Caenorhabditis elegans: one gene and its partners. The protein of the gene in region 1 interacts with the protein of each later gene in a pairwise test. Each region holds a gene or a part of one and is shown in the gene's direction. Other genes may lie near its edges. The genes, in order: T19B10.5, tgt-1 and col-10.

Region 1 (9,349 bases):
TCATCTTACTGATTTGATGATGTTACATAATAAGAACTATTTTTATAAAAATTACATACAATAACATTCAACAATAATTTTATAAATTTTCCAAAAGAAGTAAACACATGTTCTCATGCATTCCGCCATCTTTTTCAAAAACTCTGACTCCGGCTCTGTACCGTGTGAGCACTTGAAATCATACGGAGCAGACAATGAGTGCTAATGTGATATGCAGAGATTTAGAGATATGTTAACAGGACAAGCGAGACAATCCTCGCAACACACCCATCACTTTTTGTTCACTGATAAAGTTTTGTTGTATAGGTGTTCGCACTGCGAATCCCTTTTTAAGATTCAAATTTTATATCTTTATGGCAGTCTATCACTTTCATTATTGCAGAGACAAGTTTTTTTGCCGATTTTTCGATTTTTGTGCGGAATTGTCTAGTAGTGATAAAAATAATATCTCTTACATGTGGATATTAGTACAATTTTTACAGTCGAAAAGTTAGGAAAACTCAGTTTTCATCTCTCAAATTTTGAAAGTCGATCAAACAATTTTTACTAGTCTTATATTATAGCATCGATTCAATTTTTCGTATTTAAACATTCTAAGGTTTTGAGCCTACGGTAATGTTAGGAATTATTTAAAAATGCAACATTTAAAAAATTGGCAATTTACTAAAACTTGGACTGAACATTTTTAATAATCTAAAAACTATTTGAAGTGTTTTATTATGATATTTGGTTATGACTATTATAAGTGTACTTAGTTAGAAGCCCTATACTCCAGGTCCAAGAAAACAAGTAACATGGCAAAAAGTGAAATGTACTCGTTTTTATAGACATTACTTGTCTAAACGCCACAAATTCTTACTAAACTCCCGCACCTCAAAAAAATACAGTTTTAAAACTTTGTCAAAAGTTGTTGTGAAGTTTCTGAAACCTAAGCTGTTGTGAGCAAAATGTGGCTTGAAGTGTGACAAGAAGTCACCAAAGCGCATAGAATACTGGCCCGTTTTGCCGAGTAAATTATACGAATCATTTAGAAAACTCAAAAATTCTGCAATGAAATTGTGGAACAATTGAACGCTACTCATGTTCCGCGAAACTTTGAGCTTATTCAAATGGAGTATCTAAACATTTTTGTAGATCTAGTAAAAACCGTATTACTGTTTTCACGTTTTCACATTTATGCCAATTGTATCGAACATCCATAAAATCAACACCATATCCCTTTTTTCCAATCAACACCGTAATGTACTCGTCGTCATTTCCCCCTCTTCATAAAAAAGTGCATAGCAAAAATGGTGATCTCATTGGAATTGTATAAATAGTTTGCCTTCATGAAAAAATACAAGTTTTTTGTCTCATTCTGCTGCCAATGGAGATTATGATAAGAAAACAGTTTATTATCAGTCTATGTAAGGAGGAACGTTTGTCCTTCTGTTCTCTCCGTTTGTTTTGTTTCCAACAAGTTTCTTTTGGATAAATGAGAGAAAATGAGAGGGAAAGACCCACCCTTCTCCCTGTCACTTTTTTCGTGTTTCCTTATGATAATGTTAAGATGATGGATAGATTTTTCATTGCTATCGACACTTTTTGCCAACTTTTTTCAATTCGTTTTTTATTGCGCGCCATTCTCGAAACCTATCTACAAGTTAAACTTTATAGTCTATTTATTTCCAAGAATACCAAAACAATTGAAAAAAAAAACTATGATACTGCTGAAAAATTAGGTTTCCATTTTTAACTCAAATTTTAAACTGAAAGGTTCCTAAGACTCAGATTCTGACCTATAGTCTGGCCTGACAGCCTAAGAGTTTAACGCAACTAATTTTTTCTGCAAAGGTGCAAATCTAAATGACTGTTTCGTGTCCTGAATGGTTTCACAAATTTTGCTGCTCAGTAATGGAAATATTAACCTTATATGTTTGAAGTAGGAAAGTTAGTGTAGGCATTTTTTCAAAACATGCTCGATTTAAGGTATCAGCTTCACTCTTGGTCATGGACAATGGAAAGTAGGTATCTGGGAAATTGGAACATGTATGGTCGATTGTGTAATAGGATTATTGCGTCCTGCAGCGCGACCGATCTCTCTTTCTCTCTGTGTTTTGCCTGGCGGGATCCCGACATCAAATTCATCACGCTTCGATGAAACATTTGAACCGCTTCTTCGCTTATTCTGATTTAGGATCTTCCTTGGAAACAGTCAAGGAAACGTTGTCTCCAGAACTTTATGAGAACGTAGAAATCTGATTGATAGTGTAGCTGTAACTCGATTTGAACTTTTTTTTATTCTTGAAATGTGGACTTTACCCAAATTTTAATCAGCTTAGCCCACCTCTGTTCAAGATTATTCATTGTTATCAAAAAGTTATCATTTTCTATATGGCAAAAAATAGTGAAATGAACGTTTTTTTTTGTTTATCAGTCAATCAGCATAATCTCCTCCTGTGCCCTTTGTCCTTTAGTTTCACAAAACTCTATAAAAACGATTCGAATGATTTGATTTCTTAAGTTTACTCAATCTGCTCATTTGTTTTAGAGTTCATGGAATTGTTTTGAAACAACCAGTGAATATGTTCAGAATAATATTATCACTCAAAATTCCTAAATAATTAAATTAATTTTTGTGTATTCTTGATCTTCATAAATTTCCTCTGAAAGCACATACCTTTTTTCTATTGAAAGGGCACAAAAAGAGATATATTCGAATATTGTCTCAAACAAAAATGTTTTTAAAATTATCTTTGTCAACTTTCCACTTCTGAATTTTCATAAACTCTGGAAATATAAAGCTGCCGTAATTTCCTACTAGCATTGCAGCTCACTTTACTTTTACTGCATATATCTTGGTAAACTTGGGTTTTTAATCAACTTCTACACTGTTATCAATACTTTAACAACACTCAAAAATTTAAAATAAAATCAAAGATAAAAAAATATAAGCCGTCATAGTAGATTTGCAAGTCTAATAAGAAAAATACTGTATCTACTATGTATAAAAATATCAAAATAAATTGCCAACAATATAGATACCACGGACTACGTCTCAAACTCGTTCTTTTCCTTTTACCTTCGGAGCTTTTCCGGGAATGCATGTTAAAAAAAAGTGAGCAAATAAAACTAACTGAAAAATACCATAAGAATAAATTGCAAAGGTAAATACCTTGGGAAACCGGTTGGAATGTCTAGTCTGTAATATGTTGTTTTGTCCAGCTTCCCTTATTTTAAAAATATCGTAAAACAAATAGGTTTGAGAACAAGATAGTAGAAAAACTTTTGCTGAGATTACCAAAAAGTTAATGAACTTGACCATCTGATAATAAAATCCCTTCCTATCATCATCAGTTTCTCACACTTTGAAACAATATAATAAATCAACAGCTTCTCCCCCGCCCTTTCTGATTCCGCACTTCTTCATCTCCTACTTCTTGATTCAGCACGGAACACTTTTCCCTTCTACGAATATTTATCACTCGTCCCAAATACTGTCTCTTCTTGTGTCCACCTGCTGCTTTCCTTACTCAAGGTCGTACCGCTCTCCCTTACTTTCCGAATATATATTCATTTGCATGAACAATCCGAGATATCTTTGTATCTCCTATATCATTGTACTATTTGGTTTCAAAAAACATAACAAAACGATCAGTTTTTCGGACAACAGAAAGTGGCTTCGTGTCAAATCAAAGCAATAATAAAACGGAAAACTACAAATTATATACAGTTTCTTTATTGTATTTATGTAGTTTAATTGTCTGTTTCATAATAGTTTTCATCACTTGTTCTATCCAGAAAGTTATTTTTTGCGAGTATTTTTTTTAATTATCAAATGTAAATTTCTAGCCGTTATCAGATGTTTTGTACTATCAGTGAATCACTAGAATGCTCTGAAGCTCCATGTTCCATGTTCTAGTACTCTGTCCCTTGTAGTCAATTTCTGATGTAACTGTCTCTGAAACTTTACCCTTTCAGCTACATGTAGGTTGACTAGAAACTGAAAGTATTTAAGACACTTCGGAATGTCCCCAGGAAACTTTTGATAACGATGATTTGTTTATCATTCACATATGCAATCTGTTCATTTTAATTTGACCTATAGCCTCTTTTATCCGTCTCCTCGTAATTTATCATTTTATGATTGCGGAATATTTCAACTTTCTCTCATTTTAATTTCGGAAATTTATCAGAACATTTTGCCTACTGAATTTCGTGAGCATCTTGAAACTGTTTAGTCGTTGAATTGAAAACAAAACGACTGTGTTTCTAATGGGTAAAATAATATGCTCAACGTATATACTAGTTAACAGCCCGGTGCATAAAAAATCGAATCGTCTAAAAATCCCATCAACGCTGTGAAAATGCCCGATTTTGCTAAACTTAAAAAAAAACTCCTAGAGATGCCTTTTTGTAGAAATTTTTTAATTGAAACTTATGGTTGATCTTTTTTCCAATGTTAATAAGACATTTTAAATATCCATGGATATCCAGATAATTGCAAATTTGGACACTTTCCAATATCTAACCTTCATAAATCGCCTTGGAAACAAATTCAATTTGACATTTGACATCTCTTCACTGTTCGTGTTACCTTTTCTTATTTCCCGCAATGCTCTCCTCTTTTTCAATGTTTTCCTCTACTATTTCTTCACAGATTTAGCGCAGATAATATCTCGAAAGTCGTTGAAAGAAACCGCCGAACCGCAACCCTCATGCTGCTACCAATCCTTTCTTTCCTTTTTTCAACTATTTTTTTCTTTTCATCCAACTTTTTTCTGTATTCAGATCTTCATTCCACATAACATCATGGGTGGTCAACCTACATCACTGCTTTTACTACTGTCACTTGTACAATATGTAATGGCAGATGATACATGTCTTAGCAGGGGACAACTTTTTGGAGTCATATTTGGATCTGTTGCTGCTGCTTTCTTGATTTCAGCTGCTCTTGCTATTATTTTATACATTTGGTACAGAAGATCAAGTGAGTTTTATATTCTTCTATGTATTCTAAAATAATTTGGGTAAGCTTTATCAAAAATATAATTCAAAGCTACAGAAAACCACACAGAGAAAATTAGGTGCATATCAGATAGAAACTCACAAGGTAGGCAGAAATTCATTCAGGCACACGTACCTACCTGCCGCTCTTTTGCAGTTTGGGAATATTCTGACAAATTCAGATGCAAAGTGTCGTGCTTATCAGTGTCTAGAACTTACTGGGTTCCGCGGCTTGTTATAGAATTAAACAGTTAAACTAATTTGTTATGTATACTTTGGCAGTAGGCATGCGAATAGGCAAAAGGCAGAGTAGGTTGTCTTGAATTATAACTGTTTTGTCATTCCAATAAAATGTTTGCAAAAATATGAATTCATTGCAAAAGATGAAGATACTTTTAGTTCAGAAACAAAGACGAAAAATCAAAATACAAATAATGAAGAATTTTGATTTGAAAAAAACAATACTTTTTGTACCAAATGACAACCTTAATAACAAGTTTTCAGGTACAATTAGAGAAACAGATGAAAAATCAGCATATGCCAACGATGCCTGTGACGTCGAAGATAAAGGATGTGATGCTCCAAAATCAATTAATAAGGACAAAATGACAATGATTGATTCATTCAAGCTGAAAAGGAAAATGGAAGATTCAGGAACTCAGAAAGCATACTCTATGGAATTTTTGAATGAGGTCGAGGGAAAAGTTGGTGTCCAACTACGTGGTGTAGATATTGGAGGACTTGGATTCAATATTCAAGGAAATATGAATGAGGGAATATTCGTGAAAGAAATCATCTCGAAGGGAATTGCTGAACAATGTGGAAATATTTTAGTTGGAGACAAAATCAAATCTTTAACTATTAACTTTGAGAATATGGTTTATGAGGATGCAGTTACTCTATTGAGTTATTCTTCTCCATACAAGGTAAGTTCACAACGATATTCCTACTCATGCATCATCAATTCTTATTCAGGTGAAGCTCGAGCTTGAAAGAAAACTTTCTGATTCTGCATCAGTCAGTGATAGTGATGATGGTAAGTGGAACGTTCTTATCAATTAGACATTTATCAGTTGTATTCAACAGACAAAGAAATGAGATACCACCCACTGTTCCGAAGCAATACTCTTACACATGTCCACTTTAACCCACTGGGAACCATTTCAACTCCAACATCAATTGCTACAACTCCACAAAGATGTACTTCAACTGATTCCAAACAGAAGCACGCATTGCCACCACAGAGAGAAATCATCGAGCCAGACTCTACAACTTGTGCAGATGATAACAGTCAAGCTCGTGATGCTGATAACAGTCGAATGGATAGCAGTGATTACGGTAGTGATGGAATATCGGATTGTCGAGAGAGCACAGCAAGTGATGGAACACAAAAGACATTGAGCGATAGAATTGAAGTTACTGATATCATATTTGATAAGGTAAAGTCTCCAACTCCGCCACCATTGAGAAAGTTGGAGCAATGCACCGAACTGCCTCCAAAACCAAGAAAGATGGTTTCCAGAGTAAGTTTGAAAATAGTTCGATCAGAAAAAAAATTAAAATTTTCAGTCACCATCACCAGTTAACAAACCACCACCTTCTCCAAAAGTGAGCAGAGCAACTAGTCCAAAGAAATCTCAACAAGTGGAAGATTCAACTCAAACAACCCAACTCTCCGCTGAAACTAGACCAACACAGACTGAAAAACCAATTGCACCTGTTCCACCACCAATCAGCTCAATTCCAGTTAGAAAGGAGATGGAAACACAGACTAAGACTCCACCACCAGATCAAACTGTAGTCGAAAAGATTGTTGAAATAGCTCCAGTCGAGATTAAAGAGGATGATTCAAAGGGTCCAGAGATTACTGAAGCTAGAATTTCAAGGATTCCAAAAAGATCAGATAGCATAAAAACTCCAGTTATTGAGAGAAAGTTGCCATCTTTACCTAAAAGTGTGACACAAAGAAGTCACAGTGCTGATAAGGTATGTATTAATTTTAAAACTTAATACTATTATATTGGTTTTTTTCAGAACGACAATGTGTGGAGTCGGTTATACCAAGAAAAGAAAGGAAATTTACGAAAAACTCGTGACGTTTCTTCTCCACCAACTGCACACACATCTGGAATTCCAACACCGTCAAGATCAAGCATCACATCTACAGTAACTGCTACAGTAGGGAAGACCCCCAGCACAGATAATGAAAAGTATGGAATTGAAAATGTTGAATGCTCATTTTGAATTTATGATTTCAGATACGGTACATTGACACGCGAGAAGCGTGACCGTTTGATGGCGAACGACGCAGAATTGGAGAGGCAGAGAGAGGAATTGAGGAAATTGGGAGTTTTATGAATCCCATCCACTACAAGATGATTGTTAAATTGTTCTTTTGGGTATTTCACAGACATATTATTTATTTATTTTTATCTTCCATTTTCTCGCTTCCATCTTCCAATTCCAGATCATAGACACAAGTGCACTTACTCTTGCCTTTCGTCAAGTTGTACAGATTTACTGCCTTTTCACGAAAATCTTATATAAATAAAAACATTATTTTAAAAAAAACTTGTTCAGTGGATGAATCTTTATATTCTTAACCGTAAAATTCTGTTGACATGTTATGGGATTGAGATAAGTGTAGTACATAATAAAAATTACATGAGTATAGATAGCTTCACCCGAGACAGTAATCCAGATGTCCATGAATCAAATTTTCCATCACCTCCGTGTTACACGAAGGACAAATCACCGAGTTGTCCGAAGCGACAAATGAAATTTCCAAAGCATCATCGTCCATATCTTGAAAATCATCATCGTCACTGTCTCCAAGATCTATGACTTGCTCTGCTACTGGTGCTGATGAAGGAGAAGTGAAATTAACAGGTGGAAGGAGGCGGCTGACTCCTCCAGATGTACCACCAAGTCGGTTCCCACCAGAGTTTTGAGTTGCTTTTGGATATGAATTAAGAAGCGATGAAGTGGAAGAAGAACCTCCAAGTTTTTGACCACTCCCAGTGAATAAGGACGTTGATGGTTTAGTTGGAGATTTTGAAGTTGAATTGTCCGAAGAATTTTTGCCGTCCTTTTTGAAGAAGTCATCAAGCGTCACTCTAGGTGGAGTAATAGTTTTCTTAAGAGCGGGGCCGCCAGATTTATTTTTGTCGTTTGTTCTCTTTGATCCTTTTCCTTGTCCATAGCCTTCAGGTTCCTTAACTTTCAGAAAGTTACCTGAAATGTAAAAAATGAAAAAATATTTATTAGAAAAATAAAGTCTAACCTCCACAGCTTTGCTGATGTTGACTCCACCATCTATCATTCGGTCCGGGTGCTCGATTGCAGGATCTTTTCACATATCCAAAAAATGGGCGACGGTCTCTACACGGTCCACTACATCTCCACCAATGTTGTTTGTAAAGCCGAACTTCGTCATGAAAACTGTGATAAATCGTGATATTAGTTCCACCAGCTTGGTTAATTCTGTGCATATGGGCCTGGAATTGTGGGCCGTGACCATCACGATCTCTATTTCGTTCTTTAACAAAAAGATATGCGTGGATCATTTCATGCTGAAAATGTGCTTGAATCTAAGATTGTGATGTCACTATTGTAGTTACCAGCAGGGTCTCAACAAGATCACTTCTCGGTCTTAATGTCAACAGGGGTTTACTGAGCCGAATCGAACAAAGTCCTCCACGACCACCACGAATTTCATATGAACATATTCCGGCACATCTGGAAAAGTGATCAATAAAATATTTTGTGAAGTGTGCCCACTCGGAGACGCCATTTTTTGCTCGGTTGTCAAGCAACGCCAACAAAGCTTCCCAATTTCACTCACGCATACATACGGGGACTCCATTTCACTTCGCAACAGGCAAGAGATCCACCGAAAAACCTAGAATTTAGAGAATTTATTTTCGCTACCTCAATATTATGAATCTACCTTGCATCAAACTGGATGAACAACGCGTGAATATCCGGGCACGGATCCGAAAGTTCAAAAGACGGGTCTACGAGAGAGCTGCGACTCATTCTTTGTGGCTGCGGAAATTATGTGAACGATGGAGATGTGGAAATCGAGTAGAATACTGTAAACTTTTATCCATTAGAGAGGAGGAATACTTTAATTATGATAATAACTTCAATTAATGCAATATTATTTCATACCAGGGAATAAATTCATTTTTGTGCTCCTTCTAAAACGATTACAATTAATTAAATTCAGAGAAAACAATTATATTCAATTGTAATAACATTGAAACATCTCACACATTTTATTTGATCCATTTTTAATTGTTTTTAAAAATCCAAACACCAAAAATGTTTTCATTACCAAATTTTGGAAAAAAAAAGAAAT
Region 2 (8,837 bases), on another chromosome or scaffold:
GAGGTGAGAATTGTAAGTTGAAAGACATTTAATATAAAGGTACAGTATAGTAAGATAGGATACTACGAAAGTATACTCAGAATATATAAAAAAGACCAAATATCGATTTTAATTTGCTCTAGTTTTTTTTTAAAGTTTTCAGTTAACGTTTTGGTAATTTGGCGAATTTTCAAAAAGTTTGGCCATTTTTATTAATATCAGACATTGTTGCAAGCTGGCCCTCGCATAATGTTTGAATATATTAATAATTTCAAATAATAAGTCATACAACGCAAAATGTATCTTGATCAATTTTTTAAATCATAATAAGTGAAAACTGAGTAATTACCACTTTATGACGGAAAGTTAAAAAAAAACTTCAAAATGTTGACTGACTGTACTATGATATTTGCTCATCATATCATATGAGTGTTCCCTTCAAAAACAATTACAGTACCCCGTGAATGACTGGTCAAAAAGTGGAATTCTGGGAATGCTTGTAGCCGCAGTTATCACCAATTCTATTATGATCATCTATGTTTTCTTTGCACGAAAAATTCACTTGTCACTGAAAGCATGCACATTATCATGTACTACGAAAAGATTACATTCAAGTCTTCTCAAATCTTTAATTGCGCAAACTATAATTCCATTAATAAGTACAATCATCCCTTTATTTGTTGTATGGTTCCTCCCACTTGCCGGTGATAATTATGGAGTGTAGGTTATAGATTCATAAGTTCTTGAAATTTTTAAATACTTTCATAATACTGTCAACATATATTGTGCCTATACTAAGCGTTTATCCTGCAATTGATCCAGTTGTTATCACTTGTTCATTATCAGATCACAGAAATTCTGCATTGAAGATATTGGGATTCCAAAAAGATAAAACCAATGTATCTAAACGTTGATTAATTCATTTATAGATTTGGAAAAAAACGTTTATGAAGTTATTTAAAATGTGTATGATCTATTGATTTCAAATGTTCACAACGTCGAACCACAAATTGATGTTTCCTCATTTTCGATGTACTCAAACTATTTTATTATCGAACTTTTTTATGGAAAAATTTCAAATTATTTTTTTGCAAAATATTGGATTTTTTTGGAGATATTTCAAATTATTTTTTTTGAACTTTTTTTTTGAAAAATGTTTCAATTTTTTGGAAAATATTCGAGATTTTTTTCTACTCTCATTCTCCCCTAGAAGTCATGATGAAATTCGTTTGTGTGCACGTGAAAAGCACATGTATTGAGGGACGAATAGATGCTTCGGCATCTGTAGGGTCCTGCGTCTCGTTACTCTCCCACTGTTATTTTTCATCTGCAATATTTTCGTTTTCCATTTCACAAAGTTTATGTCAGTTAGTTGTTGTTCCGGTTACTTAAAAAGCTTATTCTCAAAAAGCCTAAGTTGATAGAGCTTTCAAAACATCAATAGTTAATTTGAATCTCTAATTCTAATTGTAAGTCAAGTAGATTCTTTCATAATAATCGTAACTGTAATTTTGCCGGAAAAATGCAAAAAAGTTTTCTTTATTAAAAACTAGTATTTAAAATTCCGCCAAAAGGCACGCAAAGTGCGCAAAGCCATTCTTGACCCCGTTATCGTGACTAGGCGCACTTTCCGTTTTTCAATCGGATTTTTTGTTTTCGGCACGTTGTTTCTCAACAAAGTTTAATGTCTCAAGTGATTGAACCAATTTTTCTATCATTTAAACTGAAAACACTAATATTTTATTTCTCTCCAAGTGTTTACAATGTTGATTCTATTGATTTTTCTCTAAAAAGTTGTGTCTCTTCAAAAAACACACACGTGACCCATGCTCTCACTTTGATGGTTTATTCTTTGTTAACAAATTTATTGATATTGAAGTGTTTATTCAACCTATTTAATTTAATTTTCCTTGCAGAAAATGCCAGCAACAAACCGAAGAATTTCTTTGGGATCTCCAAAGGATCTTCGGGAAGTGAAGTTTTTCGACGAGGAGCCAATCCCAGATGTCCCACCAAAGGGAGCACGCGTTAAAGTTTGTTATGCAGGAGTTTGCCTTACTGATAGAGAAGTTTCCAACACGAAGCAAGCAAGAATTACCAACGGAATCAAAGATACCAGCTTGTTTCCAGGTTTGAAATTTAGATTAATTTGGCTTGAACTAATGAAAATAACATTTTCGAAATCCGTTATTGCAGGATATGAAGTTTCCGGAATTGTTGAGTCATTCGGCGCTGAATGCACACCTGGTGACTATGATCTGACTATTGGAGATAAAGTAATCGTATGGCCAACTGATGAGATGTGCAGTCATGGTTATGCCGACTATGTTGCTGTTCCAACTCTCCATTTTCTTGTGAAAATTCCAGAAACTCTTTCAATGCATGTAGCATCTATTTTGCCTGCTGGAGCTACCTGGGCGTTGTCTGCTGTTCTTCAGGTTTGACATTTTCCACGGTTTTTTTCTTCAGTATTAATCAACAATTTTTTCCAGGCCAGACCGATAGTCGAAGCGTTTTCACAATCAAAGGGATTCTGCAATATTCTTATCGTGGGAGCAGGAGGACTTGGACTTTGGCTTCTTAAACTCGCCAAGCATTTCCTAGCGATCAACAATGATAAAAAGATCCGTTTGATGGTTGCTGATGCCAAAGAAGAACGTTTGTCTCTGGCCGAAAGAAACGGAGCTGACTTTGTAGTACACTGGGATGATTCCGAATTTGAAGAATATCTGATTATGAGAACTAAGGATGTGGCTCGTACCGGTGTCAATGTTGTTTTCGATTTTGTGACATCTCCAAGAACTGTCACTCGATCATTGAAGTGTCTCGCTGAAGGTGGTGTCTTATTTGTTGGAGGTCTTTCCGGTCTTGATGTTCAACTTCCAATCAAGCACGTTGCTAAAAACAGACTGGCCATTATGGGAGTTACGAGGTACTATTTGAAGTTTTTTTCTTTCTTTATTTCATTTACAAAATTTCCAGAGGAAGTATCGAACAACTGAAAAACCTTGTAAATTTGATTGCCGGAGGCCAAATCGATGCTCCAGACTACAGAGTTTATCCAGTCGATCAAGCGTCTGCAGTGTTGAAGCAATTGTCGATGTCGGAGGTTGAAGGTCGTGCCATTCTCGAAGTTTGCGATCCCTCTTCAGCATTAGATGCAGATCAGAGCGGCGGTGTTCCAATTCCTGCCGCCACTTCCGAATAATTGCTCAATAAGCCTCCAAAGGTGTAATAATTGTATTTCCCATTTTGCCATTTCATACATTGTCCCGACTCCCTTCACTCATAATTATATAGTCAGAAAGTCTTATTTCATCCTGTGCATTTACTCTATTACTTCCCAGACATCGGTATTTTGAGTATAGTGTTGCCATCTGCTTTTCAAAAATTCCCTGTAACATAAAATCCACATTTTCTCCCGTTTCTTGCTCTAGATCCGCATCCTTCCAAATAATTTTAACATGAGAACGAAAATAATTTTTAGTTAGGTAATCTTAGTTTGTAAAAAATATGTAAACAAACGAATTCAATGAATATTATAAAAAAACAAATTACCGTTACAGTACTTCATTAAAGGTCATAACCAATTATACTTGGAATAAAAATAATTATTTCCTATTTTAACGAAAAAAAAACTTACGAAGTGAAGTCTCCAATGACACCGGAACCGCTCCCGACGTGCCAGGCAGATATGAGGTACGACGTGCTGGCGAGAGCAGGATTCGCTCGTCGTGGAAATCTTCATTTGCCACATTCCATCGTCGAAACGCCTGTTTTTATGCCTGTTGGAACACAGGGAACTATGAAGGTATGGAATAAATTAAGAATAAAAATTCTAAATTGAAAAAAAAACTTTTTCAAAAATGTGAAATTTGTTTGTGATCATAATAAAGTATAATACAAAAAATAAAACCTGTTAGTTTTTTTTTTAACTTTCAGTGAAAATTTTTTCAAATTTTTGAAAAGTAGAGATTTTATGAAGTTTACAGCAAGTTAAATTTATGAACATTTTTTTTCAGATTCTCATTTTTCGATTTTCCCTGAAAAAAATTAAAAAAATATTTTCTCGAGTTTATGCAGTTTCATATATAATAAACTTACAGGGAATCGTACCGGAACAACTAGTCTCGATGGATTGTCGAATTCTCCTTTGCAACACGTACCATCTTGGACATCGTCCCGGTCATGAACGAGTTAAGGCTGCTGGTGGATTACATAAAATGATGAACTGGAATCGTTCAATTCTCACTGATTCTGGAGGATTCCAAATGGTCTCGTTGAGCAAACTCATGACAGTTGATGAAAATGGAGTGAATTTTGAAAGTCCTCATACCGGAGAGATGATGGCTTTACCACCAGAAAAATCAATTGAAATTCAACAAGCACTTGGTGCTGATATTATGATGCAGTTGGATCATGTAATTCATGTATTGACAACTGGTGATATTGTAAAAGAAGCAATGCATAGAAGTATTCGATGGCTTGATCGATGTAAAGTGGCTCATACAAGAGATGATCAAGCGATGTTTCCAATTCTACAAGGTGGTCTTAATTTGGAATTGCGGAAAGAATGTGCTAAAGAAATGGCGAAACGAGCAAAAGTTGGAATTGCAATTGGAGGATTATCTGGAGGAGAAGAAAAGGATCATTTCTGGAGAGTTGTGGCAGCATGCTGTGCAGCTTTACCCCCTCATCTTCCTCGTTATGTGATGGGAGTTGGATTTCCAGTTGATTTAGTAATCTGTTCATTTTTGGGAGCTGATATGTTTGATTGTGTATATCCAACAAGAACTGCAAGATTTGGAACAGCAATGGTCAGAAGAGGTGGATTGATGCAATTGAATCAGAAACGATATAAGGAAGATTTTTTGCCGATTGATAAGAAATGTGAATGTAATACATGCAAGAACTATACGAGAGCATATATTCATTCGATTGTTGGAAAAGTGAGCTTTTTTTCAAAATAATGTATTTTTCAACTTACTGATTTAAAAAATTCAAAATTTTCCATGTTTCCGTTTATTTGCAAAACTGTAATGATTTACAGCTGAAAACGTAATTAGATTTTGCCGTAAAACGTTGAAAATATTCAGACCACTTTTTAGAAACGACATTATAAAAAATAAAAATAACGTTCGAACACAATTTTTTTTGTCAAAACCATGAAACCAAAAAAAAACTTTTGTCAAAGTAAATACCATAAAAATCAATAAAAAATCTCTCTCTGTTACACATAATAGAGAAAAAAGCATCACAAAAATATGTCTCCATTTGCAAAATTAAACACAATTTCCAATAGTTACTTACCTGTTATCCCGTCATTATCGGGCCTACCGTAGTCCTGACAAAATACGTTTAAAAAAGTTTCATAAACGCACCCTACAAAAGTTAGACTTTTGCAGATTTTTTGCAAAGTTTTGGACATTTCAATAATACTATTTGATGTCGAATTTTATTTTAAAAAAAATTCAAGTCTCAATAGATCCATTTTGAACAAATTTGAGAATGTTCTTAGCTAAATTTAATTAAATCTCAATAATTTTCCAGGAAACGGTAGGATGTCATCTAGTATCAGTTCACAACATCAAACATCAACTGGATCTTATGCGAGACGTTCGTCAAGCGATTCAATCGAATTCTGTTGAGCAATTTCTGAAGCAATTCCTATATGACTATTATGGACCAATTCAATCTGAAAATCCATCGAAACAAGATTCTGAGAAGATGAGGGAAGTTCCTCAATGGGTCAGAGATGCTGTAGATCATATGGGATATAAGCTTGATTTTTGATTTTTGATTTTCTTTGTTTTGTTGTTAATCTTATTCGTCATTGTTGAATTGTTGTTGAATCATATACATTTTTTTAAATCTTATCAATCAATTATAATAAATTTTATTCCAGATCGCGTAAAATTCCAATGTCAGGCTTCTTATCTCTAGACACGTGGTTCCCTTTAGGACCGAAAGTTCAAACTCGAAACTTTTTCTACAGAATCTCCCCCAGCCAACACCACCACCACATACAGAACGTTTCGTGCTATTTCGTTTGTGCTGCTTTTCGAGTTTGTGTAAACTCAGTGAGCTCTCTAATGGTTTTCTCTCTCGAGCACAGAGCCGCCTATCTCTCCTCCTCGACCACAATTGATTGTTTGAACTCTTTTCTCAACTACCTCATCATATCGCCACGTGTTTGTTTCACTGATGATTTTGTATCTGAGAGCCCAAGTGAAAGTCAATTTGCAACTGTACAGGGGGAGAAAGGGCAAATAATGAACCTATTGGCGTGCGGTAGACATAAATAAGAGAATGCCCACGGCGATGTCCTTCTGAATTTCGTTGAAACACTAAACATGGTGGTGTAATGGGTTTCAGTAACAATAAAGTAATTAAAAATCAACGGAAACTATAAGAAACACACGTTGTTTGTTTCCGTAGAGATGTCTGGTATTATTACAACTGGAACAGAAATCAAAAAGTTACTTTTGAATATAATATTTTGTATGGCACCATGGGTCTCACGACGAAAAAGCCAATAATAATAAAGTCGACGAAATACCTAACGAGACTCAACGTTTGGGGGCGGAGCGATTTCGTTTGGCGTTGGAGCGCTCTTGCATCTCGGTTTCAGAATTAATGACTTAATCGCTGACCCCCAGCTTAATATTAACCTATTGTATTTTAATAGAGGACGAACTTCCTCATAACAAAAATACCACGTGGCCCTGAGCTCCCTCCTGATAGCTGACCTCGAGCCAAAACATGATCCTATGATTTAAGGGGAATCCCCCAATCATCTCCCGGTCATCATCTGACTTCAGATGTCACCCCACCCAACACATTTTCTTTGTCCTCGACTTGTTATACGTGCAAAAGCGAGAAAAAACGAGACGATTCTCTTTTCGTCGCGCCATGACATCGGTTTCCGCAAATATCTCTGCGACTCTCACCCACGTGGGTCTCTAATCGTTGAGGATGAGAGAGCGAGAGTGAGAAGAGAAGCAGAGAAGATCAGACCATCAGCCAACGCTTTTTTATGTTGCGGTGCAGTGTCGACTGTCGACGACGAAACGAGCGGTGTGGAATTGAATGAACTTGGCAGTGAGAAGATGATGAAAAATGCAACGAAAAATCGTCAGATGATGATGAAGATGATGGCCACCCAGGCTTATATGGATTTTTATTGAGCTTTTGAAATTTAAAATTTTATAATTTATTTTGGTTCGCCTTTTCTGAAACTTCATGGGAACAAACACAGACCAAAATATTATAAAAGTGTAAGTTTATGGTAGTCTTTTTGAATTTTTAGAAGGCTACCATAAACTTTTCGGCGCGACGAGACCCGTCTGAATAAATCCGTGCGCCTTGAAAATGTATGCTATTAAAATCTGTGAAACTACACGATATGCACATTCCAAAATTTCTCTGTAACTGCAAAAATTCAAAAAAATCTCCAATTCTAAATATTTCCCTCAAACATTTGCGTACACTTCGAACCGAAATGGGGGATTCCCTCCAAACTGTCTTTATCATCTTTTATCATTTCTTCTTTTTGTCCAATCAGATTAGCTTCGTTCAAACGATCACCCAATTTAATCTTTCAACATTTCTTTTCATTCTCTCCAGGAATTGCATCAGTTTGACGACGAAGGTTTTGCCGGAAAAGATCAACTGATATGGAAACGGCCAAGCATCAACTTCGTTTAGACAATTCGAAAATTTTGCAACAATTGTGGAGGTGATTCCCAAATTTGAAGCTGATAGTGGCACACAATGTGAAAGTGATATGTTATCGAAAATTCTAAATTATAGTAAATAGAAAGACACAAGTCTGATAAAGTTTTTAATGCTCCCTGAAATTTCTTTTCCAATGATCATTGGAAAATTGCAATGACCATGTAGAAGTGTTTAAGGAAATAAACTTTTTATTATTTTTGAGATTTTTTTTTGAAGAATGGTCTCCGTCTCGAAACCGTCCCGAACCAACAAACAACGAAAAAATTATGTGTGGGGATGAAAAGGGGTGGGGAACCAATAAAATATTTAATTATACTAAAGTGAGAACGAACCAGGCAGAAAAGATCAGAGCTAGACTTTAGTTAACCTAGATAGTTTCGAAACAGAAAACTATGGAAAAGGCACTAAAGGGTTACACGAAGCTATTTAAACCTGGCTTGGAGCCATTTGATGTCATAAAAGAGGATACAAGAGCCATGAGATGAGTGAGAAGTGGGTACTTATGTGAAGGTGAATCCAGCGGTTCTGTAGGTGTTGTAGACCTTCTCGATGGAGTTGGCATAGGCAGCAGTACGGATATCAAGTCCAAGGTTGTACTTGTGAGCGGTGCGGATGATGGCTTCTCCGGAGCGTTGCATTGTGTACTCGAGTCCAGAGTGAACGATGTCTTTCTCGGAAGCTCCAGCGATCTTGGCAGCGAAAGCAGCATTTGGTTCAACTGGGCAATCCTTTCCGACGGCCTTGGAGAGAGATTCTTGGACCGAGGCTGAAAATTCAAACATTTTTAAACAGAAAGAATTGATTTACAATTTGTTTCCTAGAGTGCATACGTACTCATTTTCACGACAACGGTTGAGTGGCCTCCTCTCCCTCCTCATAAAATAAACGGAAAAGTGTGACAAGCGTAAGAGTATCTAGCCCTTGTTAGTTTCTAAACAAAATTTTATCACAGATGAAAACTTGCAAATCGTTTCATTGTGTTACTCTACGCAAGTCTAGGAATTCAAATTTCGAAAATTTACTTACCCAAAAGCATCTTGTTGGCTTCCTCGTCATATTTGAATGTAAGACGTCCGTAGGAAACATGGTTAAGATTCTTCAACCACTCGAAGTAGGAAACA
Region 3 (7,376 bases), 2.1 Mb from region 1:
GCACTTCGAGGATATGGTAATCCACAATCAAAACTTATCAACGAGGGTGTGATGAGAAGAATTGCTAGAGACGTTGGAAAGAGCACAGAAGAAATTAAAAGAATCAATTTTGCTCTTGAAGGAGGAAGAAGGTACCTTGGTGGAAAAATACATAATGATGCGCTTGTTGAATGTTGGGAATACTGTAAAAAATGGAGTGAATTTGAAAATAGACAATCTGGCATCAAACAATTCAACAAAAACTCAACAGCTGTGAAAAGAGGAATTGCTATGTCATCAGTTCGCTTTGGCCTTCCACATCCTGGTCCAACGGGGCACGGAATCGCAAGTCTTTTGATTAATTTAGACGGATCTGTTCAATTATCAATTGGTGGAACTGAAATGGGTCAAGGATTGAACCAGAAAATGTTACAAGTCTGCAGTGAAGCATTGAAGGTTTTAAATAAAAATTAGAAACATCTTAACTAAACTAATATTACAGAGACCAATTGACACCATCACCATAGTTGATTGCAGCACTGACAAAGTGACAAACGCACCGGAAACAGGTGGAAGTCAGAATGCAGATACTAATGGATTGGCAGTTTTGGCATGTTGTAAGAAAATCATGTCTAGGTTACAACCGATTATTGACAAAAACGATGGAGAATGGGAAAAGTCTATCCGAGAAGCTTATGGTGCCTATGTACCACTACAGTGTACAGAATACGGAACGTAAGTCGATTTAGTCAAAAGGTTTTAATTAAAAAAAAATACATTTTTTATTCAGAGTGGAAAGGGCGAAATTCGGTGTTGGTGAAATGGAGTCTCCTTACAATACAACTGGAGCATGTGCAGTAGAGATGGAAATTGATACACTAACTGGATACAATCGTGTGATCCGTGTGGATATTGTCATGGATGTCGGGGAAAGCTTGAATCCGGCCCTCGATATTGGACAAATTGAAGGAGCATTCATACAAGGATATGGTCTCGTAACTTGCGAAAAAATTACATTCAATAAAACTACCGGACAATTGGATCAAAACACTGCAGGAAAATATAAGATACCAAAAGCCAGTGATGTTCCAAAAGACTTTAGAGTGAAACTTCTGGGCATTAATAATGCAAATGGAGCACAAGTTTACTCGTCAAAAGGAATCGGAGAGCCACCACTAATGATGTCATGTGGGGCAGTTCATTCGTCAATAATGAATTGTATTGATAATTGGAGAAATGAAAATGGTATTCATGAATTTGTGGATACAATTTCACCACTCAGTGCTGAAAAAATTCAAGAACTCTGTTCAAAGAAATAATTACATCTAATTAAATTTTATTTGTCTTCTTATAAATAAATTGTTGTATATATCTCAAGCCTTTTGTTGATATTTAATCCACAGACCATGATATTGATCATCTATTAATTCTTCGAACATTTCCATTCAGAACACTTTTGTAACAATTTAAATCGTTTTGAAATGAATTCGATGTGTTTATATTTTAATCAGGAGGCGTTTGGATTTATAAACGAGCGTCCGACAGGATTAGTGTGCCACTTTCTTTTTCAGTCCACACTTGTCCCCTCTCAACACTTTTTTGTTATTCTCTCACTTTATCCTCACCTCTCGCCTAAAGTTCATTTCAAATTTTTGATTCATTTCTTACTGTGTGAAATCAAGAACTAGACGGAGTCGGAGTGGTTGGCTCGAGATGCTTCAATGAGTCGACGGACTGCGTCGAAGTTACTAGTTTTTGTATTTTTATGCTCTTTATGTTTTGGAACTCAACGGTATGATATGCCGAGAAAAATTGACTTGTTTAATGATTTGATTACACAATCGACAACTCCAGCATCTCCAAAGGTGAATAATCAAATATACAACTTTCAAACCAAAGCATTTATAATTTTTGTAGTTTGTTTTAGTTTTTAATTTTCAAGTTTTCTTTTGATAATTGTTATTCTAAAAAATTGAAAGCAATGGGTAGTTTTGTTCAAAGTTCAAATTTATACAACAACGTCTACCTACTAAAAAATGGTATATGCCGAGTTTTAAGTTGATTCGAAAGTTGATCTCGTATAAACTAGCTGATCTGAACTTCCGAACTCAAAGTTTTTGCCGAATTAGCACGAAACACAAGTTCCCAAAATATTTCAAATGTTTTCAGTGCCAATGTCTTCCACCAACAACTCCATCCACCCCTCCAAACTGTATTCCTTACGATTCTCGATTGCAAGCAGCAAGTCTTGAAGAAGCTATTGTGGCATTCCCAGATCTTACCATTACTCGACAAGAGAAGACACAACAATCTGTAATTCTTTTTTTTTCATTATGTTTTCGGATCTCAATTAACTTTCAAATTATGGAAATTTGTTTTAAAGCTTTTTCGGAGTGTAAAGTAACTATAATATTTCAGACTGCAACACTAAACAACTGCAAAACTAAACAATGCCGTGATTGCTATAAAGATCTCAGAAGCCAGTTGCGAAAAGTAGGAAGCCTCTTGCAGAATCGCTTCTAGAAATGTTCACTTCCAATTTTCAGGTCGGTCTTCTTCCAGGAACCATTGACCAGGTGTTTCACAATCAGCGGAACTTCACAACTTGTCAAAAATATAGATTTGCAAGACAGGATAAAGGAGTCTATGAGAAGAAAAAGAAAGCCAAACAACATTATGATTGGGATTATGTAGAATGTAAGAGAACATTCAGTGTTCTTTTTTTGGAAAAACTCTCAAGTACAAATTGAAAGGTTTCAGATGATGAAGATGAAGATGATGATTACTTTTGGGATGGATTATTTTGGAAGAAGAAGAGAAATGTATTAAAGAAAATTGTAAAACGAGACGTTGAAGCTACTACTGCAATTTCACAACCACCTAACAGTACAGCAATGAACTCAACCGGAATTATAGGTTTGTATTGAAGACATAATTTTTTTTCTAAAAACTTCTTATTGGTATATATTTTTCAACACTCTGAAAATAAGATATATTCAAAACAATAATTTTAAGTGACCGTCATAAATAATTATGAAAAGAAAACAACCATTCAAAGGTTTTTTTAAAAATTTTTACTCAAAATGCGTGTATTGTTCTCCCTCAAAAAATTATTTCCGGGTCGTGAATTCCCTTACGAGAATTTCAATTCCCCTCGGGTGGTCATCATCTCAAATTCCAATCTTCTTTTTCATTTTCAATCTCTAACAATTTCAAATTACTAGAACCCACAAACCAATGTTCGATAACGGCATGCAACCTTGAGAGAGTCTCCGATTTGATGTGTAACCTTCATTAAACCCTGTAATACAAGTCATGTCGACAAACCAGATCTTCATCCCTTCAACATTTGGCAGAAAAGTGCAATTCGTCTTTTACAGGAATTCGATTTCCGATCTCTTGCACAACTCGAGGCGTCACTCCAGATGGATTAGGAACTGTTTCCCTTTGTAGTACATGTTGGGTGTGGCGACGTCTTCCGAGTACCTACTATCCTGCATATCTTAACGAAGTCGTGTGCGATTATGCGGACACATCGTGTCTGAGTGGTAGTGAAAAGACAGAGAAAGTGGGGGAAAAAGAAAATACCATTTTTTCAGGATACGCGTCATGCCAAACTGGAACCCAACAGTTGAATGTGCTACGAAATGACAGCGGGAAATTGATTCCAATATCGGTATCAGCTGGAATCAATTGTGAATGTAGATTAGCAGTTGGATCAACACTTGAATCACTCGTACTTGGACAAGGAATTTCCAAAGCAATGCCGCCAATTGACACAACTAGTACAAAACCACCAAATTTGGCAACAAGCACAACAAGCCATTCCTAATTTATTTGGGTATTTTACTCTTGATAATTGTATTAATGATCATTTAATGTTGTTGAATATCACACATTTAACATATTCAATCGAAGAAATATAACGACGTTCCACAACATCCAGTATACGTCTTCCTCTGTATTGAGTTTTATTCTTTGACATTGTGTCATGTTTCAGAACATAGAAATATACCAAAGTGTTGAGAAGCATTGTATAATTCAATTGAATCTTTTTCAGTTTACCTCTTCTCCTTTTTCACCGTTTCCGTCATCAAAACGCCGTTATTCAAGGTGAGATTATGGCGATAAATGAATGCCATTCACAAAATTGCAAGACACTATTAAAGAAGAAGAGGTTTAGAGATTTGTACCGATCATAGCTTCTTCTGAGAAAGCGACCTTGGCGGCCGTACTTGAAGAGAAGCAATTTTTATCGCCGTAGAAGATGTTGCCTGCCACCCACCCTGTACGTTGTTTTTTTGCTTATCAACATCTGAATTTTGTTGTCTTTTGCACCGCCTACTTTTACTATGGAATTTGAGGAAATATAATATGAATTGAAGAGAATACGCTACCTGTCAAAGAAACGTCACGGTTAGGGTAGTATAAAAGGGAAGGGTAACACTGAATAAGGTACCTGGCTTTCAGTCATGGAGAAATTTCTTGTAACCCTCTCTACCGGAGCTGCCTCCATCGCCGTTCTCGCCGTTCTTTTCACAGTTCCATCCCTCTACAACACCATCAACGAGGTTCACGATGAGGTAATAACTATTCATTATTTATTGCATTTTTTAATCTAAAATATTTATAGGTTCTCGATGGAGTCTCTGTCTTCCGTGTTGAGACCGACTCTGCATGGACCGAGATGATGGACATCCAGATCACCGTTACCCCACCAACCAAGCCACGTGTCAACCCATTCAACTCTATCTTCCGTCAAAAGCGTCAAACATTCTCTGGACTCCCAGCTTGGTGCCAATGCGAGCCAACTAAGCCAACTTGCCCACCAGGACCACCAGGACCACCAGGACAGCCAGGAGCCCCAGGAACCCCAGGAGCCCCAGGACCAAAGGGAGACGACAACACCGCTACCTTCGCTCCACTCACCTGCGCCCCAGTCTCCCAAGACTGCGTCAAGTGCCCAGAAGGACCAGCTGGACCAGCCGGACCAGAAGGACCAGCCGGACCAGCCGGACCAGACGGACAACCAGGAGCACCAGGAAACGCTGGAAACCCAGGATCCGACGGACAACCAGGAGCCCCAGGAGACAACGGACAAGACGGAGCCCCAGGACAAGACGGACAACCAGGAGCCCCAGGACAAGACGGACAACGTGGATCCGGAGCCCCAGGAGGACCAGGAGCCCCAGGAAACGCTGGACCAGCTGGACCAGCCGGACAAGACGGAGCCCCAGGACAAGACGGACAACCAGGACCAGCCGGACCAGCTGGACAAGATGGAGCCCCAGGAAACGCTGGATCCGATGGACAACCAGGAGCCCCAGGAGGACCAGGACTTCCAGGAAACGATGCCGCTTATTGCGCTTGCCCACCAAGATCCGCTGTCTTCGTCTCCCGCCATTAGATTGGTTCAAGACAAGCATCGTCTCTTTTCTTTTTATCAAAATAAAATCATTTTCATTCAAATTTTACTTTTAATAATACATCAAACTACAAGTTAATGTTTGCCGAACACACGAGAGACATTCTTATTTCAATAGTCATTTCGAAAAATTTCACTTTGTCTTTTTGGTCTGCCATGAAGATAAGTGTAATTCCACCTGACAAGAGTGCGAGGAAAGAGGCTGAAAGGTTTCATTGTTTAGTAGACGACAAAAATGTTGGTTGTAATAAACATAAAGTAAATGAAGTGTGTTTTTGTTAAGAATGGCTTAGAAAAAAGTGTAACTTAAATATCATTATGCAGTCTGTGACTAAAGGTCACTAATTTTTTCACAAGATGAAATGGGATAAAAGTTTCGCCAAGTTCGGACGAGTTTAGAGTCGAAAATTTGAATACCGCTTTGAGAAATTATCAATTTTTCTACGATTTAACTAGGAAAGACATCAAGGCTTTCAGTCATGGAGATTGCGAATAGTAGGAACACTAGTTTATAGGTACCTATCAAGTAATAAGAGCATACACATGTACAAGGGTTTTGCTGGTTTTTGCACCCATCGGCTGACAAAATACCTCAATCAGCGAAACAATATTCGGTAATATACCAAGATATGCAATACGAATAGTGACTAGTGAATAATTAATTTACACTAGTTTTCGCGAGTCGTAACATTGTCAAGTTGACAAAATTTGAGTTTTTACCCGGAAATGGATTATTTTTTCAATCTTCAAACTGTCATAACTTTTTTTGTGAAACTTTCTAGACATCTCATTTTAAAATGAAGTGCTTTCGAGGGAGATTTCGGAGTCTAATAAAGCAATGACTTACATTTTGTAAGGCCAGATATAAAATGTTCATCAATGTTTTGTTTTACATATTCATCAACAACCATTCTAAAAATTCAGTCAGGCGCACCCCGTGAGCGATCCAAGAGGTTTAATTGTAAATGTTATCATCCAGTCAAGGAATTTTAAGGTAACGCAAAATATTTCTAAATAACATCCCATCTGACACATTCAGATCGCAACATATCATGCAATCGCCTCGAGAGAAAGTTGTCCGTCCTTCTTCCTCTATCACCTACTGAGAGAAAAGCATTTCATCTTTGTCCGCTTTTTCTCTACGGCCTGCCCACTTTACTATCTTCCTCGTTTGTGGCTTCTGAATGAGGAAGTTGAGGCAAGAAAGACAAGAAAAAAAGCGAGTTCATGGAGACAAATGGAATATTTCATTACACATCTCTATGCAAAAAAAAACTGTATGAGTAATTCAAAAAGAGGAGTATAAAAGGAGGCAAGATAACTAGGAAAGACACCAAGGCTTTCAGTCATGGAGAAGATTCTTGTAACCTTTTCTACCGGAGCTGCCTCCATTGCTGTTCTTGCTGTTCTTTTCACCGTCCCATCCCTCTACAACACCATCAATGAAGTTCACGATCAGGTTTATATATATATACTTTTACAAAATAGTTAAAACAAAATTTCAATTTTATAGGTACTCGATGGAGTCTCTGTTTTCCGTGTTGAGACCGACTCTGCATGGACCGAGATGATGGACATCCAGATCACCGTTACCCCACCAACCAAGCCACGTGTCAACCCATTCAACTCCGTCTTCCGTCAAAAGCGTCAAACTTTCTCTGGACTTCCAGCCTGGTGCCAATGTGAGCCAACTAAGCCAACTTGCCCACCAGGACCACCAGGACCACCAGGACAGCCAGGAGCCCCAGGAACCCCAGGAGCCCCAGGACCAAAGGGAGACGACAACACCGCTACCTTCGCTCCACTGACCTGCGCCCCAGTCTCCCAAGATTGCGTCAAGTGCCCACAAGGACCAGCAGGACCAGCCGGACCATCAGGACCAGCCGGACCAGCCGGACCAGACGGACAACCAGGATTCCCAGGACAACGCGGTAACGACGGATTCCCAGGAGCCCCAGGAGCCCCAGGAGAC

The links.
Region 2: the proteins of T19B10.5 (region 1) and tgt-1 interact in a two-hybrid assay, tested with the Caenorhabditis elegans proteins (one large-scale study listed by BioGRID).
Region 3: the proteins of T19B10.5 (region 1) and col-10 interact in a two-hybrid assay, tested with the Caenorhabditis elegans proteins (one large-scale study listed by BioGRID).

Annotation. Positions count from the first base shown.
Region 1 is NC_003283.11:11,229,880-11,239,228, forward strand, and holds T19B10.5 (PDZ domain-containing protein), read left to right. Parts: upstream 1-4,770; 5' UTR 4,771-4,791; coding exon 4,792-4,969; intron 4,970-5,490; coding exon 5,491-5,912; intron 5,913-5,961; coding exon 5,962-6,022; intron 6,023-6,072; coding exon 6,073-6,509; intron 6,510-6,555; coding exon 6,556-6,972; intron 6,973-7,020; coding exon 7,021-7,196; intron 7,197-7,244; coding exon 7,245-7,344; 3' UTR 7,345-7,553; downstream 7,554-9,349. Other genes in the region: DNA-dependent metalloprotease dvc-1, read right to left, coding at 7,667-8,220, 8,270-8,558, 8,607-8,724, 8,831-8,887, 8,936-9,024.
Region 2 is NC_003282.8:11,954,594-11,963,430, reverse strand, and holds tgt-1 (Queuine tRNA-ribosyltransferase catalytic subunit), read left to right. Parts: upstream 1-3,626; 5' UTR 3,627-3,637; coding exon 3,638-3,790; intron 3,791-4,085; coding exon 4,086-4,928; intron 4,929-5,529; coding exon 5,530-5,772; 3' UTR 5,773-5,884; downstream 5,885-8,837. Other genes in the region: ZK829.7 (Enoyl reductase (ER) domain-containing protein), read left to right, coding at 1,899-2,109, 2,176-2,417, 2,472-2,911, 2,962-3,187; gdh-1 (Glutamate dehydrogenase), read right to left, coding at 8,217-8,482, 8,743-8,837. UniProt on the Caenorhabditis elegans protein: Catalytic subunit of the queuine tRNA-ribosyltransferase (TGT) that catalyzes the base-exchange of a guanine (G) residue with queuine (Q) at position 34 (anticodon wobble position) in tRNAs with GU(N) anticodons (tRNA-Asp, -Asn, -His and -Tyr), resulting in the hypermodified nucleoside queuosine (7-(((4,5-cis-dihydroxy-2-cyclopenten-1-yl)amino)methyl)-7-deazaguanosine).
Region 3 is NC_003283.11:9,162,366-9,169,741, reverse strand, and holds col-10 (Cuticle collagen 10), read left to right. Parts: upstream 1-4,434; 5' UTR 4,435-4,451; coding exon 4,452-4,562; intron 4,563-4,612; coding exon 4,613-5,386; 3' UTR 5,387-5,450; downstream 5,451-7,376. Other genes in the region: putative aldehyde oxidase gad-3, read left to right, coding at 1-435, 482-714, 770-1,298; B0222.11 (uncharacterized protein), read left to right, coding at 1,701-1,844, 2,149-2,292, 2,398-2,472, 2,526-2,676, 2,740-2,895, 3,360-3,527, 3,579-3,811; col-145 (Putative cuticle collagen 145), read left to right, coding at 6,753-6,863, 6,918-7,376.